Linked DNA regions of Pelodiscus sinensis. The protein of the gene in region 2 interacts with the protein of the main gene of each other region in a pairwise test. Links are inferred from orthologs where the notes say so. Each region holds a gene or a part of one and is shown on either strand. Other genes may lie near its edges. The genes, in order: KLHL42, STAM2, LITAF and ARRDC3.

What was found.
Region 1: the proteins of STAM2 (region 2) and KLHL42 interact in binary tests that used the Homo sapiens proteins (3 or more experiments, as listed by UniProt). The two-hybrid records come from large-scale screens. The link is inferred for Pelodiscus sinensis from reciprocal best matches to the Homo sapiens genes STAM2 and KLHL42.
Region 3: the proteins of STAM2 (region 2) and LITAF interact in a two-hybrid assay, tested with the Homo sapiens proteins (4 studies listed by BioGRID and IntAct). The two-hybrid records come from large-scale screens. The link is inferred for Pelodiscus sinensis from reciprocal best matches to the Homo sapiens genes STAM2 and LITAF.
Region 4: the proteins of STAM2 (region 2) and ARRDC3 interact in binary tests that used the Homo sapiens proteins (3 or more experiments, as listed by UniProt). The two-hybrid records come from large-scale screens. The link is inferred for Pelodiscus sinensis from reciprocal best matches to the Homo sapiens genes STAM2 and ARRDC3.

What each region holds. Positions count from the first base shown.
Region 1 is NC_134711.1:129,725,600-129,733,931, reverse strand, and holds the start of KLHL42 (kelch-like protein 42), read right to left. Parts: upstream 3,352-8,332; 5' UTR 3,209-3,351; coding exon 2,346-3,208; intron 1-2,345. UniProt on the Homo sapiens protein: Substrate-specific adapter of a BCR (BTB-CUL3-RBX1) E3 ubiquitin-protein ligase complex required for mitotic progression and cytokinesis. The BCR(KLHL42) E3 ubiquitin ligase complex mediates the ubiquitination and subsequent degradation of KATNA1.
Region 2 is NC_134717.1:28,406,773-28,414,694, forward strand, and holds the start of STAM2 (signal transducing adapter molecule 2), read right to left. Parts: upstream 3,200-7,922; 5' UTR 2,999-3,199; coding exon 2,959-2,998; intron 1-2,958.
Region 3 is NC_134726.1:14,505,835-14,513,974, forward strand, and holds the start of LITAF (lipopolysaccharide-induced tumor necrosis factor-alpha factor), read right to left. Parts: upstream 3,171-8,140; 5' UTR 2,985-3,170; intron 2,822-2,984; exon of another isoform or gene 2,690-2,821; intron 1-2,689.
Region 4 is NC_134716.1:74,018,863-74,026,359, reverse strand, and holds the start of ARRDC3 (arrestin domain-containing protein 3), read right to left. Parts: upstream 3,170-7,497; 5' UTR 2,929-3,169; coding exon 2,649-2,928; intron 1,196-2,648; exon of another isoform or gene 815-1,195; intron 788-814; exon of another isoform or gene 1-787. UniProt on the Homo sapiens protein: Adapter protein that plays a role in regulating cell-surface expression of adrenergic receptors and probably also other G protein-coupled receptors.

The DNA.
Region 1 (8,332 bases), on a different chromosome or scaffold from region 2:
ACCGGGGGCCGGACCCGCGGCCGCTTCCAGATCAGCTGGAAGCGGCGCAGGTCCTGCCGGGTGCTCCGCCGCTTTGTTCAGCGTCTCCCTGGTCTGCAGACCAGGGAGACGCTGAACAAAGCGGCGGAGCACCCGGCAGGACCCACGCCGCTTCCAGCTGATCTGGAAGCGCCACGGTTCGGCCCAGGTCCTCCGCAGCTTTGCTCCACGTCTCCCTGGACTGCTGGGGGAGGGGGGGGGGAGATGCAGCTAGTGCCCCCCCAGCAGACCAGGGAGACGTGGAGCAAAGCCGGGGGCCTGTGGTAGAGCAGGTGGGGCACTGCTGGTTGGTCCCGCAGCACCGCTCCTTGGCGCTACTGGACCAACCAGGCAGCACCCCAGCTGCTCTGCCCCAGGCGTCCTGATTCAGCTGCTGATCAGTTTCAGCAGTGGCTGAATCAGGATGCCTGGGGCAGAGCAGCTGGGGTGCTGCTGGGTTGGTCCAGTAGCTCCGAGGAGCGGCCGTGCTACTGGACCAAGCCAGCAGCACCCGAGCTGCTCTGCCCCAGGCGTCCCAAAGTCAGCCGCTGCTGAAACTGACCAGCGGCTGACTACAGGAAGCCCGAGGCAGAGTTGCTCTGCCCTCGGCTTCCTGGAATCAGCTGCTGATCAGTTTCAGCAGCAGCTGACTTGCGGACGCCTGGGGTTCTTACCTTGAATCTGTATGTAAGTGGAACTGGTGTCCAGATTCAGCGGCTGTTGAAACTGATCAGTTTCAGCAGTGGCTGATGCCAGTTCCGACTTACATACAGATTCAACTTAAGAACAAACCTACAGTCCCTATCTTGTACGTAACCCGGGGACTGCCTGTACTTCTATCAATGATCCTATGGAGCATGCATCATCTAGAAACATGTACAAACTAAGATGTTTGCCTTTTTTCTGATCTTCATTATCTTTTTCTTTATGAAAAAATCAATAAACACTAATTGCAAAAATACAGAGTTGTATGGGCCACTTCCACTGACAATTATAATACAGTTATGATCAACTTCATCAGCTTTTAAAACAATATAAGAAGCAAAAAGAAAGGAAGGCACCAGTTTCAAGGCAAACATTTTTGTTGGGTATACTCGATGGTAAATTCTCTTGGGCAGGGACTAGGGATGTGACTAATTACTCCCCCTTCCTCTCCCCCAGGGGAGGAGCAGGAGCCAAGACTGAGGGGAATTGGCTTAAAAGCTGGTTTCCCCCAGCACCATCTCTGAGGGGGCAGAGAAGGTACAGACACAGAGGAAACAGTGTGAGCAGGGTCTGAAGCAGTCTCCACTCGTACCAGTTCTGCTGTGATTCTGCTTTTAAAATGTACAAGAGCTCCATGTGGTCGTGCATATTTCAAAGACTCAGGCGCCGCAGGGAGCACAGGGCCAGTCCCCCACTGGCCTCACGCTCCCTACGGGGCTTCTGCTTTTGAACTGTAGCAAATACCTGGCAGAGCTCTTGCTACAGTTCAAAGGCGGAAGTGCCCTTATAGACTAAAATCGAATAGTGGATGGAAATCCCATTGACTATATGATTAATTAATTAATTAATTAATCTAAATGTAACATCCCTAGCAGGAACTGTGGTTTTATAGCAGGTGTGTGCAGAGCCTACCACAAAGTTTAAATGCCACAATACAAATAAGAACCTGTTTGGTCAATCTTGACTCTGATGTTCTGTACTCCTTACATGCATGGATCCATTGATGCCAACAGGACTCCTATATGTGGAAGACCAGATTATTGAGCCAAAAGACCCCATGCACTGACTAGGAAGAGAATTTTACCTTCATTATTTTACCATGAAATTCTTTTTTAAATAAAGACAGATATTTGGAGACTACAGAGAAAACTAGACCCTAAAGGCCCGATTGATCACTAATGATCTAAATGGGTTACCTGGTAAGCATCCCCCCCTAGACATACATACATGCATTCTTTTTTCCCTCTCTCTCTCTCCCCTCCTCCTTCCCCACTTCCATCCCTGAGCAAGCGTGGGGCCGGAAACAGATGGGTTGAAGCAGCCCCTGCCCACAGGGCAGAGAGTCCCCACCCTACTTTAATTTAATCAGTTAAGTGATTAAACTTAATGTTTAACCGGTTAATTAAACAGGATTTTACATTCCTATTAATCATCTCTTCGAGTACTGTCATTAACATCAGCAAACCGGGAGAAAAAGGGACAGTCAAATGCTGCTTACACTGATAGTGTTGACTTCACAAAATGCAGGTAGGTGGTGAATCAGGCCCTGCACTTCTGGGTCTAGTCTATACCTACCCAACTCAAAATGCTATATCTTGGTAATGCACCATGTGGGGGTTTACCTCTTTTGGTTCATTGAAGCCATCTGACACCATTCATTTATACAGGGGTTATAACAGTGGGCAGCCGATATCTCTTGGCTGGTGATCCTGTAGCCCCCGACGACAAACAGGTAGTTGTCCATCATTGCCGACCCATAGCCTCGGACATTCACTAGATCCAGGGGCATGTTGCTGGCCAGGGGCAGCCACCTCTGAGCCACCTCATCATACCTCAGCATGGAGCAAGGGGTTTCCTCCTGCAGGTGGCGGCATGGGGCCAGGCCCAGGGAGGAGGCACCCATGAAGTCTCCAATAGCCAGGAGGGTGGCAGTGCCCTTCATTCGCCTCTCCCTCAGCTGCTGCCTGAGGGCACTGGGCAGGAGGAGGTGGGGACGGGCCTCCGGCCGCCGCAGAACCTCATGATAATGGGCAGCCATGAAGCCCAGGCAGGCATCCTGCAGGTCCTGAAGGCCATAGACCTGGGCCAGGCGGTGCAGCTCCAGGCAGTTGCCCAGCCTCACCTGGGAGAGGAGCAGGCGCAGCAGGGGGGTGACCTGCAGGTAGGAGGCGGCCTCGACCAGCTCTTCCAGCAGAGGGGGCTCCTGCTCCCCGCCCTCCTCCTGCTCCAGCCGGGCCAGGCAGGAGGTGTTGATGAAGTCCAGCACCAGCTCCAGCCCCTGGGCGCTGAGCCCCCCGCGCAGCTGCTGCTCCTCCTGCCCCTGCCCCGCCTCCCGCATGCCCGAGCGGAACAGGGCGCGGAAATAGTCGCTCTGCTCGATCAGCTTCCTCTTGCTCACCGGGTAGCACCTGTCCCCCAGCCGGATCCTCACCACCTCCTCCTCCTCCGCGCCAGCCGCTGCCTCCCCCGCCTCCGCCTGGGACATGGCCCCGGGCTCCTGCCTGCCCCGCCGGCTGGCGGGAGGAGCGGGGCGGGGGGTGGCTCCCGTGGCGGCGGGCTCAGCCCCTCTCCCGGCTGCGTCCCGCGGCGGCGCGCAGGCCTAAAAAGGCAATGCTGGAGCCGGGGCGCTGCAGCAGGCCGGGGCCCCAGCGTCTCCAGGCCCCAGCTCCCGGCCGGGGAGGAGCCCGGGGAGGGCCTGGAAACGTCGCTCTCTGCTCCGTGCGCCTGGCGGGAGCACCGCCCCCCTCGTCCTAGCGAGCACCGGGGGCCGAGCTCAGCCCCGAGCTGCCTTCCCTGGCGGTCCCGCGACAGGTCCCTCCCGGGTGGGAGTCGCTCAGCAGCACCGCGCAGAGCCCAGAGACCTTTAGACCTTCTGACAATGGGGAAAGAATTTCGGCTTTATTTTTCTGTCTCTTATACCTCACTAGCAGATTTACCCAGCATTGGATGGGTCCTTAACTCATTCATCAAAAGAAAATGAAAATGTACATGCTTCCTTTAAAAATAAATAAAAAACGAGTGGCCCTGTATAAGCTTAGAGACTTACAAAAACATTATATAGCAGAGGTTCCCAAACTTTTTCAGACTGGGGACCAGTAAATCCATTCACAAGCTTTTGGAGGACCAGTAATGTTTATTTGCATATTCATTAAGCAGATGATGAATATGCAAATAAATTGTTTCTGGTCCTCCCAAAGACCCCATTGCCAACTTTAGCCCACAGAAAGTCAGTCCAGGCCACACAAGTGAGATACAAAAACATAACCCCTCAAACCTCACTAATGTGATCCCAACTGTGTTTGTGGGTGCTAGGACAGAGCTCTGGGGAAGGGTGCCAATGAGTGCTGGGCCAGGGGAGAGGATGCTTGCGGGTGCTGGGGCAAGGGACAGAGCACTTGTGGGTACTGGGGCAGGGTATTGTATGGGTCCGGGTGGGGGGGGAGGGGACAGGACCAGGACCGATACCTGGCGATCTTATAGCTGCCAAGGCCTAGGAAGTGCGCGGGCTGCTCCCCCGTCCTCCAAACGGTGGCACGGTACCTGACACGCTGGTCTGTTGCATGCCTGATGCCTTCCTGCACAGCGGGGTCCTGGACCGTGCCAGCCCCAACCGCTTGGGCAGTGCACACCTAGCTCCTCTGCTCTCCATGGCAGCATGCGCCGCCCGAGCAGCTGGAGCCAGCATAGTCCCGGATCTCCACCCACTCCCCTGCGCACGGGAAGGCAGCAGGGGAACAAAGTCCCCACCATGCGCTGGACCGGCATTTTAGGTACTGTACCGGCTGTTGGGGCAGGGGGAGAGCAGCCCACACGCTTCCGGAACCTGGTACGCAGCTGCAGAACTGCCGCCCTATCCCGCAGGAAGCCTGTGCTACCTCCATTGACACTGGGAGTTCAGTGCAGAGTTCATCTTGTGGATTGCAGGCCGTGAGGCGGGCTCTCGCAAACATTTTTCTGAGGCCTGGTATTTTTTTCCTAAGGACCAGTACTGGGCCGTGGACCACAGTTTAGGAAACGCTGTTATACAGTGTCATGAGCTTTTGTAGGCACAACCCACTTCTTCAGATGAGCAGAGCAAGAGCCACAGAGAAGTACAGAAATCCAAAATTTTAAGCTGAAAAAGAGAGGACAGAGGGATAAAAAGGAGGGAGGTGGGGGTAGGCAGAAACCCTGTCAACTATAGTGTCCATGCTAAATGTGTCTAATAGAGTGGGCTGTGTCTGATCCTTAGCTTTTGATGTCATTTGGGTGTTGAATATAACAGCCCATCTAGCTAATATCTTTGTTCTGTCCTTGTGTGAAGGTGTCAGCTTTGCATATGAAGACCAGTTCCACAGTTTCTCTCTCTAGCTCAGGGGTGGGCAAAAGGGCCTCCGTAGGCCAGATCCGGCCCACCAAGCTGTAGCAATTAGGGCCTGGGGGCAGGGGAAGCGCACCAAGTTTCCTCTGTCCTGCCAGGAGTATGTAGCACTTTGAAGTGCCTTGCTTGGGGGCGGGGGAGAACATGAAGATTCTTCCGCTCTATCCCCACCCTGCGAGGAGCACACAGCACTTTCAAGTGCTTCCTGCTCCTCGCATGGCGTGGGTAGGCCGAAGGAAACTTTGTGCACTTCTCCTGCCCCCCAACCAATCAGGGTTTGGGGGCAGGGGAATGCGTGAAGTCTCCTCCCACCCTGCCAGGAGCACAGGGCACTTCAAAGTGCTATATGCTCCTGGCATAGGGGAGGAAACTTCATGCACTTCCCCTGCCCCCAGGCTCTAATTGGCCTGGAGGTGGGGAGTGTGCAAAGCCTCTTCCTGTCCTGCCAGGGGCATGGGTGCTTAGTGGGAAGGGGGGGGCAAAGAGGCTCCCCCACCCCCGACCAATCATGATCTGTGGGTGGGGAAGCCCGGAAGCATCCTGGCCCCACCCTTTCTGTTATAGGCCCCACCCCAGCCAAAAATTATTGCCCACCCCTGTCTTAAAGGAATAACAAACGTAATATAACTGGTCTGTCTGGAGAAGGGCTAGACAGAGCAGGACAGACATATCCAGGGATGGTCTGGCACTGAGTGTGTGGAGACTCTGTACACTATAATCAAGGCTGGGGACAGCCACGGTAGGACTGGCAGACTGCAGTTACAATAACACACCTGGGAGTGGCTAGCATATTGTTGTCCAGTTAGGAGTAGTCTGATTATTTCTTTTGTTGTTTCCGTGGTGGTTGTACTCCTTGTGATAGAAAATAAAAAGTATTGAAAAACTAAGCCAAGAAGCAAAAGGAGTTTACAATTTAGACCCAGATCCTGTAAACACTTAAGCACATGCTTAGCCTCTTGCATGGAAATACATTTAATTTATTTTAATGTGATTAGTCACAAGCATGCAACACGGTGTATTTGCAAAGTAGACAGTGAGTTTAAGGGATGGTACTTGGTCCTGCTGTAAGGGCAAGTGAGTGGACTCGATGACCTCTCAAGGTCCCTTCCAGTTCTATGAGATGGTATATCTCCATATATATATTAATGCAAATACAATCACATGTGAGGAGTATGGAGTGACATACATTGAAAATGAAAAAGACCTATCAGCTTGTGTAGTTTGTCCTGTACCCAGAAGGTGGGGAATGGGAATCAGCATAGCACAGCATACAAATATCTCATCAAAGTGTGATAGCTCTATGACAGATTGTACCCCCATGTTCATACCTTGCACACCTTGGTAACAATCTGTGTGATGTAAACTAACAATTTGCCGGTCATTGTTGTCATGGTAAAATGCATGTGGGAACATTGTATGTAAAGTTGTTTTATTCAAGAGTACGTTGTTACTAACAATGTTCCAGGTCTAAGGAATGGTCAAACAAATGCCTCAGAGATAAAGGGTAAGTTGACACCTCAGCCAGGTATAAACAAGGCCAATGGATATTATATGCTCTCTGCACAGACTGCCAGTCACAATGCTTCCACCTGGAAATGCATCTCAAAGGTAGGTAAGAGGACTATAAAAAGGAAGGGGAAACAACTCCTTCTCCTGTCTCTCCCTCTCCCTTTGTTGAATACTGCACCAGAAAGAACAAATGATGCAACCATGGACCTAGAGAAAGGGTCCTGGCCTAAACAGTTTGACTGCTCAGAACATCTTGTTCGAAAAACTTAACTTGGAATTTAGCTTTCTTTACTTGCCTTTTATCTTTTTCTAGTAACCATTTTTGACTTTCATGTCTCATTACAGACAGTTTGAGTGCAAGTAATTCATAAACTTGTTTTATTGTTTTAGCTCATCGAGTGTGTTTGAAGAATCTGGGAAACTCTATTTGGGGTAACAAAATAGGTGCAGGTTGCCTACACAGACGGGAGTGAATTACATGCTGGAGACTGCAGGCATGCCATGACTGGAGGCTGGAGCAGTAAAGCAGTGTAAATTGCATCCCAAGTTAGAAAGCAGGAGTGACACAGATACTCGGTAGTGTAAATTATGCCCTGTGTATGTCACAATCTCCCAGGCTACAAAAGATACCTTGGGGTATTTTGGCATTACCCAAGGCTGGATTGCAGGGTGCTGGATTGCACCATGAGATTTGGGATGTTCACAGAAATATGTAGAGGTAGTAACTAGGGATGTTAAATTAAGTGTAATTAGCTAATTGAGTAGTCAATGGAATTTCCATCAACTACTCAATTAATTGATAAGGGGAGAAACTGCAGCACTGCAGCAGGGGACCAGGTGCAAGCTGGGAATCAACTGTCCCACCACTGCACCTCTGCTTTTTAAATGCATTAAAAGCCTGGTGTTTCTTAATACATTTAAAAAGGAGATGCACAGCATCTGGGACTGGGCACAAGCTGGGAGTCAGCTGATTCCAAGCTTGCACCCGATCCCAGCTATGCCTCTGCCTCCCCAGATGGTGCTGGGGAAATCGGCATTTAAGCCACACACACACACACACACACACACACACCCCAGCACAGGCTCCTGCTCCCCCCTTGCTGCCTCTCTTTGATAGAGGCAGCAAGGTGGGGTGGAGTGACTAGTCAAGTCACTACTTAACTACCTGATAAGCATCTTATTGGGTAGTCGACCAGTCACTTACATCCCTAGTAGCAACCCTTCTTGACATGCTGGAGGCATAGCTGTATTAAGAATGGATAGCCATTTATTAGCTACATATTTACTATTTTTCCACTTTGCACCTTCCAAGAACTTTACTAGACCATGGTATTGTAATAGAAGTAAAGGCATGCCCTTATTTTTCCTCCCCATCAGTAGCATTTAAGCATTTTCAGGTTATCTGCAGAATATCTGCAATTTGTATACCTTTTTCTGATAGATCGTTGTAGTGAAGCCTGAATCAGGGACTTCCAGAGCTAAAAGCCTCAGTCTCTACAGCTTAAGCTAAAGAGGCAGGCTATATAGCTGAGAATTGTAACATATTGACATCCTCTGTAGATTGGGTATAGGGGTGGACATGTAATATACACTGTGATGAGTGGGTCACATCCTTTCTCTGGGAGCCCAAAGAGAACAAACAAAGGAAGTTTGTCCCAAGTATCTTAGGCTTATGCTGGTTTGAATCCCAGACAAGTCCTCACTCAATTCCAGGTCAGCTATCATTTGGGCTAATAGCTG
Region 2 (7,922 bases):
ACTGGTAAGCTTTTGAATTGTTTCCCCCCTGCCATTACATTTACCTCTGATTAGTCTACGCTAAAAATTTAATGTTCAATAAGTCAGCGGTGGACCGTATTACCTAGCCCAGGCTCAAAAACTGGCTAAAAATTGCTGTGTAAATATTTGGGATCAGGCTGGAGCCCGAGCACTGGGACACCATACTCCATTTGCAAAGTCCTAGAGCTCAGGCTCCAGTACAAGTTCAAACCTCTGCACAGCAATTTTTCAGCCCGGAAACATAAGCCCTGTGATCCAGAGTCAGCTGATGCTGACCAGCTGTAGGCTTTTTATCCCTAGCTGGACACGCCCTCAGTGGCTCTTTCTAAATAGAACTACATGACCACTTTGTAACATGGGTAAATGTCATCAAATTCACTTCCACCAGACATTTTACTGTGAGACATTGAAACCAGGGTGAAAATCTGACCAATATTCTTCAATAGTGATTTCATCCGAGATCTCTGGAGATGGAAAAGCCAAATAAATGTGCCACTTAATGCCATTCAAACTTGCGTACATAGCTGCTTTCATATCAACTTGATCTTCTTCAAGGGCTCCCACTTAAGGTTACAGACTCACAGCCCCAAATGACAGCAAGAACACTTAAGTCTAGGGCAGTGCTTCTCAAAGTGGACAGCGGGCCTTGCAGCTTTATCTATGGGTCTGTAGCCAGAGAGCCTCACTGCTCCCCCATTGGCTCTGGTTCACTGTTTCCAGCCAAGGGCAAACTAGGGATGTTAAGTAGCAGTTTTAAGATAGCTCCCCCCAGTACCAATTCCTGCTCTACCACCTCCCACTGCCTCTGTGAGAGAAGGGAAGGAACTAGTGGAGTAGTGACTTGACTACTCGACCAGTAGTTTACATCCCCAAGGCAAACCGGAGCCAATGGGATCCATGAGGTTCTGTGGCTTCTGATCCTTAGATAAACAAAGCAGTGCAGGAAGCTAGAGGCTTTACCAAAGCAGGCCCACAGCTCACTGTGAGAAATACTGGACTAGGGGTTTAAAAGCTTGTAGCACCTCACTATGATTTCCCCAGCAAGTACAACTGAGGCCTACCACCAGTGGTCAACCTCCGTCCAGGGGCTACAAAAGTCCATGCCAGTTACCTAAAAGCTTTTACGAAGTCAAATTACATTTATCCTTGGAGAAAAAGTACTATGGAAAAAAAAAAAAGTGATACTACATACATGCAGCGTCACTTTTACATATTATCTGTGAAAGTCTAAAAGGGCATTAAGATTTTTGAAGCAACAAAATGTCCTAATTACACTTTTGCCATGGTATCTTTTCCTAAACTGTTGCCTGTGCATTAGGCATCTTCCTACTAAGGATGTAAGCGACTAATTGACTACCCGATAAGCAAAAGCTTATTGGACAGTCGACACACTAGTCACTTCCCCCCCTTTGCTGCCTCTATCACAAAGAACCAGTTCCCACCAGCTCCAGCTCTGTAGGAGGGGGCAGGAGTGCAGCAGCTGTGTTCCAACTTTGAAATGCACAAGAGCCCCACCCCGGGTTCTTGTACATTTCAAAGAGGAAGCCTGCATGGAGCCTTTGAAATGTACAAGAGTTCTCACTGGAGCTCTTGTACATTTCAATGCGGAAACACTGCAGGGAGCCTAGGGAGCTCAGAGTCCTTTGCTAGCCCCAGGCTCCATGTGGCACCACCTCTTTGAAATGTACAAGAGCCCCAGAGAGAGCTCTTGTGAACTGCAAAGACTGAAACACCGCGTGGAGCCCGGGGCCAGCAGGTAGTCCCCCACTCATCCCAGGCTCCACACGTCATTTCAATCTTTGAAAGGCAGAAAGTGCTAGTCCTTATTGACTAATGGAATAATCAATGGAAATCCCATCAACTAGTTGATTAGTTATTTAATAGAAATTTAACATCCCTACTTCCTAAATTAATATAACACAACATTTTGAGACTTGCAGCCAAAAAGAAAGTAGTATATACAATTTTCATTCAATGATTATCACAAGCCATCTAGGCTTGCATCTACTCCAGTTGTTTACTGATCCATATCAGAAAAAAAAGTATTTTTTTCATAAATGCTACAGCTTGGTTTAACACTATCAAATTTCTGAATTTCAGAAATTTAACTCTGGACCGACACCAACTAGGTAGTATGGAATACCGTACCACTGATTTCCCAACTTCCTAAGCATTCATATCATCTCTCAGTTTCCAAATGATTAAATTTCAAAAATTATCACTGTCCATGAATCAGACCCTTACCGTAATTTATTATAATGCTGGTCTTTACATACTACGAAGGAAAAAATAAGCTAACTAGTACGTGGGGCAGGGGCCTTGTTATTGGTCAGCATTTACATACTAGCAACATTGCAATGTACATTCCAGTTGTGTTGTATAAACGTGTTATAAAATGGTTTTGTTTCAAGAAAAGTTGTAGATGTGCAAGAACCGCTGTCAGGACTGAAATCCCAGCTCCCGGTGACACGGTCGGAGACGTTAAACACGGGAATTCCCTGAAATCCACCCCTTGACAAGAGAAGTTGGCAGCCAAGAGAGCCCCTCCGGGAAGCCGGCCAAGCTACGCACAAGCAAGAGTCGCTGGAAGCAACACGCGTTTCGTGTCTCCTCTTGTGCCTGCAGGTGCCCGGTACGTTTGGGGGGGGGGGGGTGCTCAGGGCAGTTTCCGGGGACCGTGTCCCTGCTGCGTTTCTAATCCGTCACCAGCCTCCGCACCCAACTACGCCACAGGGCTCAGCCCTCAGCTGTGCAGCGCCCGGTCACCCCCGACGCACCCACCCCATGCCCGGCAGGAACACGGTCCCCAGCCTCCCCCCCGCAGCGCCCCAGCGCTCCCCCGGGGCCGGCCGGCGCCCCCGACACACCCCCGCCCGCCGCCCAGGGGCACTCGGACAGGCCCCGCTCCCCGCCGCGGCCGGACTCCCGCTCGCTCACCCACGTCCTGCTCGAAGGGGTTGGGGGCGAACAGCGGCATCTCGGCGGCCTCCCCGCGGCGAGCCAGGCCCTGCTCCCCTCTCAGGTGAGTCGCAGCTCTCAGACGTGGCCCCTCCCCCGCCCGTGGCCGCTTCCTGCTCCGCCCGCCGCCACGCAGGCCCCCCCGCTCGCAACAGGCGCCCGCGCCGCGCCTGCACCAAAAGGGCGAGCCGCGGCCAAGCGACCCAAAGCCTCTGCCGCAGAGAGCGCCACCGCCATAGGGCAGCGGCCTCCGCCCGGGTCTGGCCCCGCAAGAAATGACACGGCGACGTCAGGCACTGAGAGAGGCACCGCGCGCTCGGGCCGCCGGAGGCGGGGCCTGCCAAGCGCTGTGGAGGGAGAGTTCCCGCCTAGCAACGAGCCGGGGGGAGGGGGGGTGCAGGCAGAGAAGCTGTCGGGAGGGGGGGGGCGGGGTCGGGCTGCTCTTGTGCAGTCTCGGGTCCCAGAGAACGACAGAGCGAAGGTCCCTGCTAGGGGTGCTAATGGCCGGCAACCGAGTACTCAGTGGAACGTCCATGGACTAGTCCATTAATCGATGGGGGGGGCACGCGCTGCCCCCACTGTGGCGCTGCAGGTTACACGTAGCCAACCCGCCTGCTGCCCAGCCCCTACTACCCTGCAGCTGGGTTAGCTCCCGGCGGGGGCGCAAGCTGGAAACCCCGCTGCGGCTCTGCCTGTGGTACTGATTTAAAAGGCGGAGGCGCAGCATGGGACCCAGCACCGCCTCCTGCCGGGTCCAGGCCGCTGCGGTGCTGCCTTTTAAACGGAGCAAGAGCCAGACGCTTGTTACCGGTTTAAAAGGCAGCGCCACAGCGGGTCTGGACTTGGAGCCAGCCAGGCAGGTCTTCGTACATTGGAAAGGTAGAGCCACTGCCTGCCCTGCCATCCCACTACACTAGGAGACAGTGCTGGGGAGAATCTCTTTAAGCGAGTTCCCCTTAGCGTTCCCCTGCTTCCTCCCGCCCCTGACCTTGTGGCCTCTGATTAGAGGCATCAGGCTGGGAATGTGAGTAGTTGACTCAACTACCAGATAAAGCTTATCAGCTAGTCCACTATTCAACTACTCTTTTACATCCCTAGTACCTGCTGGGGGCTCTGACTGGTGACGGGCCTCTAAGCTGGTGGCAAGGGGAGATGGGATTTCTCTGGGGCAAAAGGTGGGGTGCAAAGTGAGGAGGTAGTATGATCCCCTGTTCCTCTGTTGGCTTGCACAAACAAGAGTCCCTGGCATTCTCAGGCCACAGTGAAAAATGTTTAAGTTACCTAAACACTCCAATTCCACTGCCACCCTGCCATGCCACCCAAGACTGCCCTGCCCTCACCCTTCTGTGTCAGTTCAGTACAGCCAGTCCCCGGGTTACGTACAAGATAGGGACTATAGGTTTGTTCTTAAGTTAAATTTGTATGTAAGTCGGAACTGGCTCCATATTCAGCCGCTGCTGCTGAAACTGACCAGGGGCTGACTACAGGAAGCTGGAGGAAGAATTGCTCTGCCCCCAGCTTCCTGGAATCAGCCACTGATCAGTTTCAACAGCGGCTGAATCTCGAGCCTGGGACAGAACAGCTGGGCTGCCAGGTAGGTCCCTGCAGGACCAACCCAGCAGAGTCCACAACAAAAGCCTGGTCTGCTGGGGGGGGGGGAGGTGCACTAGCTGCGCCCCCCCCCCCCCAGCAGACCAGGGACACGGGGAGCAAAGCCGCAGCGGCAGCAGGGTGCCGCACCTCTGAGGCTTTGCTTTGGCAAAGCTTCAGAGGCGTGGGACCCCGCCGCCGCTGCGGCTTTGCTCCGGGTGTCCCTGGTCTGCTGGAGACGGTCCCCAGCAGACCAGAGGCACCAGGAGCAAAGCGGCAGCGGCGGCGGTCCCCAGCAGACCAGGGGCACCCGGAGCAGCTTTTCTTGCCCCGGAGGTCAAGGTGGCGGGACCGCTGCGCTCTGGGCGGTCCCACTGCCTGCGAGCTCCGGGGCGAGAAAGCCCCGTTCGTAAGTGCGGGAACTGCCTGTACACTGGTTACTTGTAGCATTTGAGATAATCACTGGAGAGAACTTAAGACACAGAATTGTCAGCTTCTTTATTATTTGGTGCATTTGTAAGCTCTTGGTTATAATTGTTTTCTTTGCACCTTTTTCTTTGTGGCACACTATATGATGTATATTTATAAATAGTTTATAAGCGTTAACAAATGATTATTAACAACACGAAAAGTATGGGTTAGATGGCTGTAAGCAAGTTATTGGCCTGTACTCAAGCAATCTTTATCCAGTGATTCACCAGGGGATAGAAAATAAGACAATATCTTATTGCCTCTATATAAATCCATAGTATGACAATATCTTGAATACTGCATGCAGATGTGGTCACCTCATCTAAAAAAGATATCTTGGCATTGGAAAAAGTTCAGAAAAGGGCAACAACAATGATTAGGGGTTTAGAATGTCTGCCATAGGATAAAGATTAATAAAACTGGGACTTTTTTTAGGTTAGTAAAGAGGAGACTAAGGGGGGGATATAATAGAGGTCTATAAAATCATGACTGGTATAGAAAAAGTAAATAAGGAAAACTTATTTACTAGGGCTTACCAAATGAAATTAATAAGTAGCAGGCTTAAAACAAACAAAAGGAAGTATTTCTTCACACAACACACAATTAACCTATGGATGTCCTTGCCAGAGGACGTTGTGAAAACCAGAACTTTAACAGGGTTCAGAAAAGAGCTAGATATATTCATGGAGGATAGGTCCATCTAAGATTGTTAGCCAGTATGGGTAGGAATTGTGTCCCTAGCCTCTCAGAAGTTGGCTGTGTCTAGACTGGCAAAATTTTCCGCAAAAGCAACTGCTTTTGCGGAAAAACTTGCCAGCTGTCTACACTGGCCGTTTGAATTTCTGCAAGAACACGGACTTCCTACTGTCTGAAATCAGTGCTTCTTGCAGAAATATTATGCTGCTCCCGTTTGGGCAAAAGTCCTTTTGCGCAAAGCTTTTGCGCCAAAGGGCCAGTATAGACAGCTCAGATTTGTTGTGCACAAAAAAGCCCCGATCGCGAAAATGGTGATCGGGGCATTTTTTGCATAAAAGCGTGTCTAGATTGGCACGGACACTTTTCCGCAAAAAGTGCTTTTGCGGAAAAGCGTCCATGCCAAACTAGACACTCTTTTCTGCAAATGCTTTGAAAGGAAAACTTTTCCGTTCAAAGTATTTGCAGAAAATCATGTCAGTCTAGATGTAGCCGTTGGGTATGGGTGACAGGGGTCGGATCACTTGATGATTACCTGTTCTATTCATTCAATGCTCCTTGCATTGGCCACTGTCGGAAGACAGGTTACTGAACTAGATGGACCTCTGATCTGACCCAGAGACGCAGGGAGCTCTCTAGTTCCCAGACGCCATGGTGAGTTCACCGCAGTTCCTGATCTCAACGCAGCTCCCAGCACATGCAGTGGGTTTCCCACAGCTCACAGTCTGCACACTCGACGAGGAGTCCTGTGGCACCTTATAGACTAACTGAAGTGTAGGAGCATAAGCTTTCGTGGGCAAAGACCCACTTCGTCAGATGTGACGAAGTGGGTCTTTGCCCACGAAAGCTTATGCTCCTACACTTCAGTTAGTCTATAAGGTGCCATAGGACTCCTCGTCGCTTTTGCAGATTCAGACTAACACGGCTACCCCTCTGATACTAGTCTGCACACTGAGTTCCAGAGCCCCACAGGGAACTCACCACTTGGGCTGGAAGCCATGGCCACTTTTATTATTTGCAAATTTTGCCATTTGTGGTAGTGCCAGGAACACATCTACCACGAATGGTGAAAATTTCCTGTATTTTCAGAACAAGATTCTTAATGTTTTCAGGGATGACTGATTATTGTTCATCTAACTAATATGAAATTTTCATGAGCCACTATTTTTTCCTAAGTATTTCTGTATATATGGTAGAATTACAGGATCAATTGTGATGAGTAAATTATTAATTCTTTTGTAATTAATTTCATAGTTAAACAAAATATCAAAATTCATTTAGTGTTTCTCAAGAGGACAAAGTGAATATATATTTGAATATTGCATATGACAGAAAACATAAATGTGAAGGGTGTAAAATCATGTGATATGTGTCAAAGTGTACCACATATGCATCAAATCGTCCTGTGACACCTTTATTGATATATAGTTTCTTTTTTGGTTTATGTAAAAGGAGGACAGAGTGACTTACAATAGCCAGCCAACTTCAGTGATTGTACTTTATTCAGTATCTTCAGGGGGTAGCCGAGTTAGTCTGTACAGGATAACGAGCTGTACCAACAGCTCTTTATCTGTGTAGATTCTTGTGCTAGTACTCTTACTCTCTAAGTGCTATACTGTGATCCTTATCTGCTTCTTTAAACTATCCAATTTTTAGGTGCTTATAGATTACCAGGTTTGCTTTTTTGGTTTTCCCTTTTATATTTACATACCGTCTGCTTCTTTTTTCCCACCTCCTTCCATTTTTTTCCTTTCCCCCTTTCCCTTCTCCCCTGTTTATTTTGGGTCTGGACATCCTAAACTCAAAACTCGGGTCATCTGAAGAAGTGGCCTATGCCCACAAAAGCTCATTATACCATCTACATGTTTTGTTAGTCTATAAAGTGCTACCAGACTATTTGTTGTTTTTTAAGTTTATTCAGGAAGTTGTTCAGAAAATAAACTATTGTGTTAAAACTGTTTTAATAGTTAGAAGTGACCTGCAGATGGCAATATTGCTTTCTTATTGGGATTTTAAGTAAGAACATTATGCTGATTTCTAGAACTGTAACTCCGTTCAGGCAAAATGGAACTCCTTTCTCTTAGCCTTACATTTACTAAGGAAGTGAAAATACATTATTATCAAAAATGAATTGGCTTGAATAAAAATGGCACTAATAGGCTTGACTGTTTTAAGGATAAAAATTATGA
Region 3 (8,140 bases), on a different chromosome or scaffold from region 2:
GCACATTATTGACTCCTATGTGGCTACTCTCATTCAGAAAAGTCATCGTACACCACACCACGCTTCTAAATGAAAGTTTACACTCAGGAACTTATGCTTTTGTGTCAACTTTCCTGCTTTACCTTGTGTACACTGTGGTGTTCCAGTACCAGTTTTAAGGATTGCCTGCACAAGGAATAGTGATAGAAATGTAGCCGTGTTAGTCTGGGGTAGTTGAAGCAAAATGCAGGACAATGTAGCACTTTAAAGACTAACAAGATGGTTTATTAGATGATGAGCTTTCGTGGGCCAGACCCACTTCCTCAGATCAAATAGTGGAAGAAAGTAGTCACAACCATATATACCAAAGGATACAATTTAAAAAAATGAACAAATATGAAAAGGACAAATCACGCTCACTACTGGTCTATCCAGCTATGTAGACACTCTTCTCAAACCCTTCGTAACCAATACCCCCAGCTATCTCCGAGACACTACTGACTTCCTAAGGAAACTACAAAACATCGATAACCTCCCCAATAATACCATCCTTACCACCATGGATGTAGAAGCTCTATATACCAACATCCCACATGAAGACGGTTTACAAGCAATTAGAAACACTATCCCAGAGGACACTACTGCCAACCTGATAGCAGACCTATGTAACTTTGTTCTCACCCACAATTATTTCCGGTTTGAGAACAACTTATACCTCCAGATCAGCGGCACAGCCATGGGTACACGCATGGCCCCACAGTATGCTAACATCTTTATGGCTGACCTAGAACAACGTTTCCTCAACTCCCGTCCCCTTTCACCCCTCCTCTACCTACGGTACATCGATGACATCTTTATGATCTGGACACATGGCCAAGAAACACTGGAGATATTCCACAGAGATTTCAACAACCTACACCCCACCATCAACCTCAGCCTGGACCATTCTACACGAGAGATCCACTTCCTGGACACCACCGTACAAATCAACAATGGAAAATTAGACACCACTCTCTACAGAAAACCCACTGACTCATACAGTTACCTACATGCATCCAGCTCCCATCCAGAACACACCACACGATCCATCGTCTATAGCCAAGCCCTTCGATACAACCGCATCTGCTCTAACCCCACTGACAGAGACCAGAAGCTTCAGGATCTCTACCAAGCATTTATAAATCTCAACTACCCACCCAGAGAAACAAAAAAGCAAATTGAAAGAGCCAGACGAATACCTAGAAACCATCTACTTCAAGACAGACCCAAGAAAACCAACAATAGAACACCACTTGTCATCACCGACAACCCCCAACTTAAACCTGTCCAACACATTATCAATAAACTACAGCCTATATTGGAACAGGATACCATACTCAAAGAGGCTCTGGGAGACAGACCCATAGTCTCCTATAGACAACCACCTAACCTCAAGATGATTCTTACCAACCACCACAGGACATACCACACTAATACCAACCCTGGTACCTTCCCTTGCAACAAACCCCGTTGCCAGCTTTGTCCACATATTCATTCTGCTGATACCATTATTGGACCTAACCAAGTGAGTTATAAGATCAAGAACACATATTCCTGCGCATCCAGAAATATAATCTACGCTATCATGTGCCGAAAGTGTCCGTCTGCTATGTACATTGGACAAACATCTCAGACACTTCGCCAAAGGATTAATGCCCACAAAACAGATATCAGACAAGATCACAAAGAGAAAACAGTTTCTTGCCACTTTAACCAGAAAGGACACTCTCTAAATGACTTAGCCACCTGCATTCTGCTACAAAGATCTTTTACATCTGCACTTGAAAGGGAATCCTCTGAACTGTCATTCATGTTAAAATTCGACACTTACCAACAAGGACTTAACAAGTCTTTGAACTTTCTCACCCATTACCAAGACAGTTTCCCCAATTATCACCTGTAATACCATTAACTCACAAACATCCCACTCTCCCTACCTTTAATATCATCAATTCACAGACACTTACCTTCCTTCCTCCCCCTTCCCACCCCCCCGCATCCCCCTTCTGTTCTGCAATGTGATTTGTCCTTTTCATATTTGTTCATTTTTTTAAATTGTATCCTTTGGTATATATGGTTGTGACTACTTTCTTCCACTATTTGATCTGAGGAAGTGGGTCTGGCCCACGAAAGCTCATCATCTAATAAACCATCTTGTTAGTCTTTAAAGTGCTACATTGTCCTGCATTTTGCTTCAACTACCCCAGACTAACACGGCTACATTTCTATCACTACTCCATAGGAATAGTTACTCTCAGAGCAGACAAGCCTCCAGAGAAGCCCATTTCAGTGTCACTTGTTGACATTAAACGTTTTCAAACTAAACCTTAACAAGTTGTGAACTGATTTAGTAGCTCAGCATTAAAACAATTAGCCCAAACCAGAGGATTCCAGCTCCAGCGCAAACAAACAGGAAGATGAGGAAAAGCGGCCGAGTCACTCCCAAGGTGACAGGAACGGCACCTCGCGCCCGCGGGGAGGGGATTGCTGCACATACTGAAATGCTGGTTTCGCTTAAGAGTCCCTCCGAAGAGCGGACAAACCCCAGGCAGCTCGCTCCAGCCTGCGCCTGGAAGGCACCGAGAGGAAAGTCCGCCCGACCCGCCTGTGCGAGCGGGCAGCACGAAGGGTCCGAGGGGCTGGGCTGGGGGCCGCGTCCCGGCCCACTTACCGCTCCCGTATCTGAGTCGCCGGGCCGCGCTGTTCACCCCGATTCTCCGGAGCCGCCACCCCGCGGCTGGTAACGTGGCCAGGGGGCCTGGGCGTGTCACGCGGGGCCGCTCCGGAGGGGAAGCCTCTGGCCGGCCCCCCCACGTGGCACCACGGGGCGCCGTGTCCCGGGGTCTCCGCGGGCCCGCGCTGGGGGGCGGGGCAAGCGGCGCCGGACTCCCCCCTCTGCGCGAGACCCCAGGAGCGCCCCTGCCCGGCGCGCGGATCCGAGGGGGGCAGCGCCGCGCTGCTCTTACCTCCCGCTGCCCGGGCTGAGCTGGGCTCACTGCGCTCCCGGCCCGAGTTTCTGGCGACTGGCGTGGCGGAGACAAAGCTGCACCCGGACAGGCCGCTCCTCGCCCCCGCCCCTCTTTCCGACCTGGCGCTCGCCTCCCCCGCCTCGCAGCTGGGACGGGGGCGGGCTCCGGCAGATAATGAGCGGCCCCGCCCAGCGATGGACCCTGCCCTGCCCCTTGGCAGCCCGGTCGGGGGCTCCCCCTGCAGTTGGGAACGAGCGCCCCAGCCACGTGGAACCCTGCTCTGTCTCCCCCGCCACCACGCGTGGGCTCGGGACTCGCCTAGAAACTTGCCCATGGCCTGGACCCGTCCAGCCTTTAGCTTAAGGCTGTTCTTGCTGTGGTCACTTGTTCGGTACAGAACACGAGAACAGTGTTCCAGAGCCAGCCTTCCAGTGGGCAACCCGAAACCAAGCCACAAGAGCACTGAGGCAAGGGTTTAGAAATGTAAAAGTTGAACTTCTGGAGAGTAAAAGTTCAGGTGTCTGATAGTGATACACAAGTGGTTGTTCAGAAGGGTATGTTCAGTTACCAAAGAATTTACTTGATCTGGAAAAAACCTGCCAAGTTCCAGCTCAACACTATCTGGAAGACCTTGGAGTTCATTGCAAATCAGCTTTTTCCTAAGCTAAAAAGTCAAAACAACAAGATTTACAAATTACTGTATCAGCAAAAGTAACTATCAGATTTTATGTGCAAAACACAAAGTAACTTGAACAAGAGGAAAATTCCTTTTCCAAATTCTGTAATGTATTTCTTTTTATGTTAATAGGTACAACTATGCAGCAAAATAATTCCCATCAGCAAACAAATGTAGGTAATCACTAAGTATCATTCCTCTAAAGACTCCAATTATTTTTTGCCAAAAGAAATATTTTGATGCCTGAATGAAACAGCCTGGCACTGTTTTCTGACTTGTTTCCATGTCCCCTTCTGTGAGGCACCTCAAGATGAAAGTGAGCCAACAAAGGGAGATTTCCCTGTCCTTTGGCACAGGCAAGGAGATCACATTCCACAGTCAAATTAAAAACTTACATTCATAGCATAATGGATGTGGCTAGAGAGAAATAGGAAGATGGTTTCAGTGTTCCTGTCTACAAAAAGAAACCCATTAAACAAGATAAACCTCTAAAAAGCAAGCTGACTTCTAAATGCTTCAGGGGGTAGCAGAGTTAGTCTGTTACAGAAAAAACAACAACAATGGACTGGTAGCACTTTATAAACTAACAAAACAAGTAGATGGTATCATGAGCTTTCATGGGCACAGCCCACTTCTTCAGATGACCGGAGTTATGAGTGTAGGATGCGCACACCCAAAATAAATAAGAGATGGGAAGGAGAGGGGAGAGGGAAAAAAAGAAGGGGGGGTGAAAGACAGGAAGCTAGAAGGAATCAGTAAGTATCTGAAAATTGGGTAGTTAAAGCAAATAAGAATCAAAGTCAATAGATAGTATCCTTCCTGAAAAGTAGTAGAGCTGTTTGCACCTTCAACGGCTGTTAAGTTGCTAGTGCCCCATTGAATTTGCCAATGTATTTTAATTGCAATGCTTCTCTATGGATCTGGCTAGTAGCACTGATTTGTGACAAAGACAGCTACTTGAAGATCTTTTAAACAGTGATTTGGAAGATTGAAGTGTTCCCCAATAGGTTTCTGTATGTTTCCTTTACGTATATCTGATTTGTGTCCATTGATGCTTTCCCGCAAAGACTGTCCAGTTTGTCCAATATATATAGCAGTGGGGCATTGATGGCATTTGATGGCATAGATCAAATTACTGGATGTGTAGTCAAATGACCTTTTAATTTGGTAGCTTATGTTGTTGGTTCCAGTGATGAATTTGCCAGTATAGATATGTGGGCAGAGTTGGCATCATTTTTGGTTGCAGAGCTGGGTTCCTGGAGGCTTATGATATGGTTGTATGGCATGGTTACCAGAAAGAATTCGTTTCAGGTTGGGGGGTTCTCTGTAAGCAAGAATAGGCTTTTCTCCTAAGGCTTCTGAGAGTGAGGGATCATTTTCTAAGATGCGTTGCAGATTGTGTATAATGCGCTGGAGGGGTCTGAGTTGTGGACTATAGGTAATAAGAAGAGTTCTATTATTTTCTCTTTTGAGTCCGTCTTGAAGTAGCTCATGTCTGGGTACTTTTTTGGCTCTGTCAATTTGTTTTTTCACTTCTCCAGGTGGGTATTTCAGTTTTAGGAATGCTCTGTAAAGATCCTTTAGGTGATTGTAGGGTTGGAGAAAATCTGGTTGTATCTTAGGGCTTGGCTGTATACTGTAGACTGAGAAATGTGTCTGGGATAGAAGCTGGAGGCATGAAGGTAAGTGTAGCAGTCAGTGGGTTTCCGATATAGAGTGGTGGAAATTTGTCCATTATTTAACTGTACTGTAGTGTCCAGGAAGTGGATTTCTTGTGTGGACTGGTCCAGGCTGAGGTTGATGGTGGGGTGGAAGTTTGTTGAAATCCTTGTGGAATTCTTCAAGAGTCTCTTTTCCGTGGGTCCATATGATGAAGATGTCATCGTTGGAGCATAAGTAAAGTAGGGGTGTTCGGGGGCGAGAGCTGAGGAAACATTGTTCAAGGTCAGCCATAAAGATGTTGGCATACTGTGGTGCCAAGCGAGTGCCCATGGCTGTGCCACTGACTTGGAGATAGAAATTGTCTCCGAATTGGAAGTAGTTGTAGGTGAGGACAAAGTTACAGAGCTCTGGAATCAAGTGTGCAGTGTTGTTATTGGCCTCTTTGATTATGATGTTAGGATTGGTTTTGAGGCTGTGAATAGCATTGCGCTGTGCATGACTGAGATATGTTTTATGTTATTTGCTGATAATGTCAGCTTGAATGCATTTGCGGAAGCAGTACATGTAGAAATCAAGACTTTCGTTACGTCCATTGGTGGGTGTCCACATAGAAGCCATTTGTTGACTTCTAAATGTAACTAACCAAACTCAAGCTCATCTGATGGAGTGTGTTTTGCCCATGAAAGCTCATGACACTCTACATGTTTTTGCTAAGTGCCACGGGACTACTCATTGTAACTAAACTCAGTCTTTGTAGCCTCTCTACAGATACATCAGTGCCTGTTTTTGGCTAATTCTGCAACTCATAGTTTACTTCCTCTTTTTTCAAAAGCTTTAGTGGGGTAGCTGAGTTATTCTGTAACTGGAAACACTTAAAAATCAACAAATTGTCTAGCGCAGTGTTTCCCAATTTTATTTGGTCACGGAACCTTTTTAAACTCAAAATAATTTTGCTGGACCCCTAATAACAACTGGTTTGACAGCTGAAGCTTGGACTTTGTTGGACATGGTGCTAGTATATTCATATTTAGTCACCCATGTGATCCACACTCCCTGAGAATGAGTACGGGAATTTATAGTGGTATATAACAGGCGATAGCATCAGTGACTGACTGCACACGCAGCGCTGAGTAGTGATATCATCGTCACCACTCTCTGGCTAAGCTGGCATTACACAGGGACACTTACTGTGGCAAACACAAAGGAAAATTGTTTTCAATAAAATTCAGAAATGCTTAAATATATTTTTTAAAATCATAAAATGTTATTGTAATGGAATTTTCTCGCTGAACCCCAATTTTCACTACTTGGGAAACACTGGTCTAGCAGCACCTTTTGTTAGCCTTTAAGGTGCTGCTACACCAGTGGTCACCAACCAGTAGATCTTGGAGCCTCTGACAGGTGACCCTGACTGGTTTGACCAGGAAGCTACCAAGTGCTGCCACTTCAGGTGTCTCTCTACTTACTGTCATGCTGCTCCTGCACTCTGCCTGGAGCTGCCCCTTGGGAGCCTCCTGCTTGCTGTGCAGGGTACAGGAGGGATAAAAGGGGGGCACTGATGTCAGGGTGTCCCTCCTCCCCCCACTCCTGTATCCCATCTCCACACAGAGAGAAGGAGACGGAGGGAGCTTGGCAATGCAAATCTCTGTCACTCACACACTGTGTGTGTCTCTGTCACTCTCACAAACACACACTGTCTTTCCCTTTCTCCTGACCCAGCACATACATGGGGGGTTGTTACTACTTTTACAGCTTGCAAAGTGGGTTAGTTTTAGTTTTTGACTGGTCTGTGCATTGCATAACTTTCATTTCTCTCTTATGCCTAAATTTAATTCTTGGAGTAGTGTGTTCTAAAACGCTGAACCTGTCATGTCTGGAGTGATTATCCCTGTGGTAATTGTGCTCCTGGAAGTGACTGGCATGTCCCTGCCGCCCCTGAGAGAGTCAGAGCAGGGGGTCTCTCAAGCTGTCCTTGCCTGTGGACTCCGCTCCTGCAGCTCCCATTGATCAGTAATGGAGAACTGTGGCCAATAGAGGCTGTGGGGTTGGGGAAGCACTTGGAGCTGTGGAGCCATTGCTGTACATGCCAGCTGCTCTAAGGAGTGGGGCAGGGCTAGGGCCGAAATAACTCCAATGCTGCTCCCAGAGGTAGGGGATGGCCTCAGGCCCCCAACCCTTCCCTCTCAAGGCAAATGCTTTATCCCCTAGGCCACTGCAGAACCCAGCCCACCTCCCTACCTTCAGCAGGTCCCTTATCCTGTCTTCCTAATACAAGAGACAGCTCCATCCCTTGGGCAGCCTGTGTTGTGTGTCTGGTAACTCCCAGGGTGTGTGGACAGGATGTGTGTGTGTGAAAGAAACTTGGACCTCCAACTCTGTGCTCCCCAGGCAAATGCCCTATCCCCTAGGCCACTCCAGAATCCACCCCACCTCCCTATCTTCAGGGTGTCCCCTCCCACATTCCAAACCCCTTGGCCCAAGACCAGAGCCTGCATCCCAACCTCCTATCCTAGCCTGGTGGAACTGGATGAGTTTCAAGGAGGAAGGGGGATGGAGTGAGCAAGGTGAGGTCTCGGAGAAGGGGTGGAGCAGGGGCGGGGCCTCAGAGAAGTGGGAGGAAGGAAGCCGGTCAAGAATATTTGGGTTTGAGGTAGATCTTACATTGCACTTAAATTGAAAAAGTGATCTTGTGGTTAAAAAGATTGAAGACCCCTGTGCTAGAGTATTTGTTGGTTTTTAAGTTTTTCCTCTTTTTTTCTTTGTCTTCTACAACTATAATCCAGGAAATAATGGGAGCCACAGGTTACTCTATAAC
Region 4 (7,497 bases), on a different chromosome or scaffold from region 2:
CCTGGATTTTCACAAGGGCATTTCAGTCTTTATCCTTTTCTAGATTTGAATCATTTCCTGGCACCGAAGTTTCTCTCCTTCTCCTCCTTTCTGCCAGCTCAGCACTCCCATTGAGTCTCCGCAGCAGCAGCGAAACTGTGGTAAACAAGTGCTGAGCTGTCAATCACAGACCAGACTGGAGCAGGAGAGGACCGGCCTAAACCGGCGCGAGCAGCTCCCCAGCCAGCCAGCCGCTCGCGTACAGGCAGTGAACATCACACGAGCGCCCTCGCTCAGCACCTCCCTCGCGCGCAACCCAACCTGACAGGCCGGGGGAGCCGCCCCCTGCCTGGGCTTCCGCCTCGCACGCGGCCGGGCAGTGGTGCTCGCGCGCCGCCCGGCTCCTTACTGCCGGGGCGCCCCGTGCCGCTGGGCTAACACCACCCGGCCCCGGGGTGGGCTCGCCATGGCAAAGCGCGGGCAGGGGGCGGCGGGGAGGACTCTCTTCGCCTCCCTGGGGACCCTCAGGCAGCCCCAACCCCGGGGCGTCCCCGCGGAGCAGTGTAGCCAGGACAGAGCCGCTCGCCCGCCCGCACCTAACAGCCGGCAGCGAGACCCGCCCGGCCTCTGCGCCGAGGGGCATTTGCCACCCTCCGCCGGTTCGCGGGACGAGTGAGAGTGCGGGGGGAGGGCCCGCTCCCAGGATCGGGCCCAAGCCGTGCGAGCGGGACCCCGGGAGGATAATTTCCCGCCCCGAGCAGCAATAAGTGGCTGCCGGTGGCACCCCCTCTGCGTCGCACGTTGCAACCCGGGTGGCGAAACGACTCTTCTTCCTCCCGCTCCACCCAGCTTCCCTCCCTCCAATTAGCGTTTGGCATCGCCTTAGCAACAGGCTAACAAACCCCACTAGACCAATGACTGAGAGCACTGGGCGTGGTCTCTTGTTACCAGGCTAGGCTGAGAAGTGCCCGAGCTAAGTCATTGAAACTCCCTTTTTTCCATTCAGCAACAGCCCACTGTTAGCAGCAGCGCCTGCCTGTGCTGCAGATGGAGCGGCTGGCTGAGCTGCTCCAAGCTCACAGTATAAGTGAAAGCACAAATCACGGTTTACGCAACACACACTGCGCTTTATCTACAAGTGCTTCTCATTTGCAAGCTTCAGATCTACTCCACCTTCCCTACCAGCTTTCGTCTCCTGCTTTCCATTCAAACAGAGGTATGTGAGTGATACTGGTGGAGAGACGCTTGAGATACATACTCATACATACAAAGTCATTCCTGCTTTTAAAACTGCCATTAGAAAGCTCTGGACATATTTGTGACCCTACACGCGGAACGATGCATGCATTTTTGCGCCTATGCTGGGTGTGGGTGGGTTCTGGGATAGAAAATAGGGTATAAGGCAAATGCACTTTGCATAGACGAAATGTTTGCACGGTAAGAAAATAAAGAGCCTTTTAGTTCAATGCCTCTACCAATTACATTTACCTGCTTCTAACATAACTGAAATCCTTCCCATGCCTATGTAAAATACTCGATTTAGAGTCAGTGTAACGAACACTGTAACTTCTTTATTGATATTTCTTTTTTAGGCAAGGGGGAAATACACACATCTCTGCAGCAAATATACTGCATACAGATGTAAAAAGAGCCGAAAATTACATAAACACTTCTAACATTTTCTTGTGCTAAGCATTAAGTCATCGCTATCACCTGACGTGTGTAAACCAATCTGCGGAGAGGAGAGAATGCGCACCCCCCTCCCACTCCCTAGTACTGGTCCCAAACAGGATTGAACCGCTTCTAACAAAGGGTGGAAACTTCAGAAAAACAAGCTTAGTCTCCTATACTTCCACTATGCAACCTTTCAAACAATAGATGAATAATCAGAAGACCCACTCCTCTCTTTAAAATGGCTTTTTCCTAACCTAAATCAGATCCTTTTCTACAGTACTTTTCATTTCCATTGGGGCTGGCACAAGAGGCTTCATTGAATGCAGATTCCAGAAGTCCTTAACTTAGAAATGATGGTCTAATTATATAATAATGGACTCTAAGTGGCCTTTCAGACAGACTTCTTTACAGCTGTCTCACTGACATACAGTGTATTAAAAAAAATCTGTTCTTTTACTAACTTTGTTTAAAGCCAAGGAAAGAAAAAAACCACACGTGGAGTGCTGACTGCATATGTCAAAATAAACCACATGGAATCCTTTATCTGCCAACAATTACCCATCACTGAAGGGTTATCAGATATATTATTTGAAAATTGGAATTGTTTCCATAAATGTCAAAAGCAGAAGTCTATGCATTAATTCATCTCAGTACTTATGACGAGATTACAAAAAAAAATTATTTACACATCTGATTTCTGACTCTGTTTTTTCTTAATATCTCAAGGGAAGCAAAAAAATCTTCTAATGTCTAGCAAATCCATAGGACAAAAGTATGTTTACATTAAAAATGAAACCCTCATGTATTGAAAGTGCGCATGAAAGAGGCTCTGTTTAAGAGCAGGTAGTTGGGAAAAGTCTTGTTTGTATGCACTTTACAGCTGCATCTCAGTACAATTTTAACAGTAAATGTACATACAATCAAATACAAAGCCGTACCTACTTGCATCCAAAATGACTGTATATAATTTCGACTAGAGTAATACAATGACTTACCTCTTTCGTGCCCAATTAAGATGTCTTTATGGTTGAAATATTCTACTTCTTCAGTGTAATTCTGTGTATAGGCAGTGTTGGATCCAGCATTTCTAGATTCTGTCCAGCGTACTTTTGCATGTCCTCTTGCATGAATTTTAAGAGATTTTACTCTTATTTCCCCAGTAACTTCTAAATTGACCCTTCCTGAGACTGTGTCCCCACTAGAATAGACGGGGACATTGCTGTCATTGAGACAGTCAAAGCTTATTGTCAAACTCTTCACCTTCCCCAGCACCATGTTTTATAACAAAGTCTATAAAAATATATTGTAAGAAAAAAACAACAAAAGTCAAGATCTCATAAAATGCGATCTTCACTTTACACTGATCAATGCCTCTGCCGTGCAAGAAGCTTGCCGGCAGGATCAGTGTATTCTCTACAAACACTTCATTGGGATTGCTAAAAAGTAACAGCACTAGATGCTGTTCGTAGCTACTACCCAGCTCTGTGGTCTCTGTACAAAGACGGGCTGGTTGCAGCCAGCCAGCTCACTTAAGACTAGCTTTGTGAAAAACAAGCGGAGTGCGCATGAGCGGGCTGCTGCTGCTTCTCTTCCTTATAGGTGTAGCAGAGAAGACGAGCCTGCTGTGGAACAGAAGCTAGCGTCTACTCCATTCTGTCTCCCGTAGTGTGTCCGCTACCCTAAACTCTTTAAACGGGATGCAGATTTGTACCAAATAGCCTCTAATACCAGGCATAGAGCATTATATTATAGCGTAGGAATAGAGAGAAATGGGGGACTGAGAGCTAATGCTTCAAACAGCTGATAGAGAACACAGCCACAAGCCCAAACCTCCCAAAGTGTTTGCTTCTGGGAAGTACTGTGCTGGAATGGGAGTGAGAGAGGTTAGAGGGAAATAAGGCACATATCGAGGGATCTGGGACATCTTTCATCCCAAAGAGGAGCTTGTTCAATGACTATATCTGGTGCATTCCAGAAAGCAAAATATTTTGCTCTTCAAAGCATTTCAGCTGGAAATAAAAAACCATCTTGGCAGAAAATGGGATGAAATCCACCAGCTTCAGTGAAATCTCTCTTCCATCCCTCCCATTCCTTTCAATCTGGTCCTGGAAACCAAGAGAGGCACCCCACAAAATTTCAACCTGTTCCATTGGAAATTTCTCTTACCTCTCCTGTATTTTTAAAGTTGATATTTAACAGGAAAAAGAGGGAAGGGGGATCTTTAGCCTCAGTGCTTCCCTCCTATATACAATTAGGCCAATTACAGACACCAGCTGCATTTTTTTGGTTCAGATTATTTCCACTTCTGTATGCTGTGCCACCTGTAGAAATACAGCAGAGTTTAAAACCCTTCAAAAAGGTTTGGCTAAGTATATTACAGAGAGAATTTTGTAAAATAAACATTCTGTGAGAATTGGTGCAACTTTGTATATAGATAAAAGAACAAAAAGGTTAAATACTGACAACAAGAGAATATTGTCATTGCTTAACCAAATTGTCTAGATTAAATTAAATGCTACATTTCTTTTCCAAGTTCCTTGTTTATTGAAATAAGCAATTCATTATGATATATAATTTAATTGGTTAATATTAAACAGATTAATTTGTGTTGACAGTTATGGTTGTGTAAATTCTGTATCTAAAATAAAGTTCAGAGAAACAGTTTTGCTTTGTAGTATTGTGCCAATATATTATTTTCTTAAGGAAGTTTTTCAAATTTTCCTTTGGCAGACACCTGGTGGAAATTCTTTTGCTTTTTAGTCTTCTAGTGTCTTAATACATTTTATGTTTCTGCACCATCTTGTGGCAAATAGGGGAAATTTTCACAGGCACTTTGCAATGGTACTTCATTTCTTTTTGACACTGTGGTTTTGTTCCCCTACTCACAAATATGTGTGCAAAGGCTCCTTTCCAGGTACAGATCTTCCTTCCCCTGTGGAGTGAGATGATCGTCTGCTTCAGTGGGTCTGTTCTCCTCTGCTTCAGCTACCCCAGACTAACACGGCTACATTTCTATCACTGTTCTCCTCTGTTAGTTTTCAGAATCCCATCAATAAGTCTCTAGTCTGCTGTAGGACTGTTTGGCCCATATATACGCTTACCTCTATGCACCCTCCTACAAAAATCCAGCAGAAAAGTTAATAAACTTGGTGGCTGTGTCTAGACTGGCCAGTTTTTCTGGAAAATCAGCCGCTTTTCCGGAAAAACTTGCCAGCTGTCTACAATGGCCGTTTGAATTTCCGCAAAAGCACTGACTTCCTACTGTAAGAAATCGGTGCTTTCTGCAGAAATACTATGTTGCTCCCATTGGGGCAAAAGTCCCTTTTGCGCAAAACTTTTGCTCAAAAGGGCCAGTGTAGACAGCTGAGATTTGTTTTGCGCAAAAAAGCCCCGATTGCGAAAATGGCGGAAGGAAAAAAGTGCTTTTGCGGAAAAGCGTCCATGCCAATCTAGACGCTCTGTTCTGATAATGCTTTTAACAGAAAACGTTTCCGTTAAAAGCATTTCCGGAAAATCATGCCAGTCTAGACGTAGCCGGTCCGTGTTTTCTTTTGTTATATCTTTCCTGAGATATTGGGGGCAACCATGACCTAGAGTAGTCCATGTAGCTGAGCCTCAAGGCACTAGCCTCTTGCAGATCCTCTGGGGTTTGAGAGCAGGTCAGGTTTGAGAGAAAAGCTGAAGTACTCAATGATTTTTTGCATCTGTTTTCACAGAAAAGGTCACCTCCCAGACTACTGTACTAGGCAACACAGTATGGGAAAGAAGTGGGGAAAGAACAGGTGAGTGCTAACAGGGAGTTTTGAGAGGGAGTTCTCCAGGTGAAGGAGAAGCAGATACAGGACTCTTGAGGGAAGTGTGTTTTGTTATTGGGGCTTTCTTACTGTGTGCTGAGCTTGTGTTTGTTTGGTGTGTGGTGGTGTGGTTTTTTTCCCCCTGTTTGAGTGAGGCTTTAGAGAGGGAGTTCTCCAGGTAGAGGAGAAGCAGATACAGGAGTCTTGAGGGAAGTGGGTGTTGTGTTTGGGGCTTTCTTGCTGTGTGCTGAGCTTGTGTTTGTGAGTGAGGGTTGGTGTGTGTTCTTTTTTGTTTTTTGTTTATTTATTTATTTCCCCCTGTGTTTGAGAGTGAGGCTTTTTTTTCCCACCTCCCCTCCCCTTGATGGAGTTTGTGCTGTGATTGGCTGTGATTGGCTGGCGGAAACTGTTGGCTTCTAATTAAAGTTTGAATTCTAGAAGCCTCTGCTGATTGGCTGAGCCTTGGTAGGGAGAGGGACTTTATAAGGCAGTGGGCAAGTGACCAAGGAGCTTGCGAACAGGTGAGTGCTAACAGGGAGTTTTGAGAGGGAGTTCTCCAGGTGAAGGAGAAGCAGATACAGGACTCTTCAGGGAAGTGTGTTTTGTTATTGGGGCTTTCTTACTGTGTGCTGAGCTTGTGTTTGTTTGGTGTGTGGTGGTGGTGGGTTTTCTCCCCCCCGCCTGTTTGAGTGAGGCTTTAGAGAGGGAGCTCTCCAGGTAGAAGAGAAGCAAAGTTTAAAGGAGCAAACAACAGCATTGATGTTGTGGTTGGTGTTTGCTACAGGCCACCGAATCAGGTGGATGAGGTAGATGAGGCTTTCTTTGGACAACTGAGCGAAGCTTCTAGATCGCAGGCCCTGGTTCTCTTGGGAGACTTTAATCACCCTGACATCTGCTGGGAAACCTATACGGCAGTACACAGGCAATCCAGGAAGTTTTTGGAGAATGTTGGGGAGAACTTCTTGACACAAGTGCTGAAGGATCCGACCAGGGGCCGTGCGCAGCTTGACCTTCTGCTCACAAACGGGGAGGAACTAATAGGGGAAGTGGAGGTGGGTGACAACCTGGGAAGCAGTGATCATGAGATGGTAGATTTCAGGATCCTGACCAAAGGAAGAAAAGAGAGTAGTAAAATACATACCTTGGACTTCAAAAAAGCAGATTTTGACTCCCTCCGAGATCTGATGGGCAGAATCCCCTGGGATGTTAACATGAAGGGAAAGGAGTCCAGGACAGCTGGTAGTATTTTAAAGAAGCCTTATTGAAGGCACAGAAAGAAACCATCCCGACGCGTAGCAAGAGAGGCAAACCTGGTAGGAGACCAGACTAGCTTACAGGGGAAATCCTTGGTGAACTTAAGCACAAAAAGGAAGCTTACAAAGAGTGGAAACTTGGACAAATGACCAGGGAGGAGTTTAAAGATATAGCTCGAGAATGCTGGGGGCTTATCAGGAAGGCGAAAGCGCAAATGAAATTGCGACTGGCTAAGGATGTGAAGGAGAACAAGAAAGGTTTCTACAGGCATGTTAACAAGAAGAAGGTGATCAGAGAGGGTGTGTGGCCCCTAATGGATGAAGGAGGTAACCTAGTGACAGATGATGTGGGGAAAGCTGAAGTACTCAATGCTTTCTTTGCCTCTGTATTCACGGACAAGGTCGGCTCCTGGACTTCTGTGCCAAGTGATGCAAGATGGGATGAAGATGGACAGCCCGTGGTGGGTAAAGAACAGGTTAGGAACTATTTAGAAAAGCTAAACGTACATAAATCCATGGGTCCGGACTTAGTGCATCCGAGGGTACTGAGGGAGTTGGCAAATGTCATTGTGGAGCCTTTGGCTATTATCTTTGAAAAGTCGTGGAGATCGGGAGAAATCCCGGATGACTGGAAAAAGGCAAATGTAGTGCCCATCTTCAAAAAAGGGAAGAAGGATGATCCAGGGAACTATAGGCCGGTCAGACTTACCTCGGTTCCTGGAAAAATCATGGAAGGGATTCTTAAGGAATCCATATTGAGGCACTTGGATGAGAGGAAAGTGATTAGGAATAGTCAG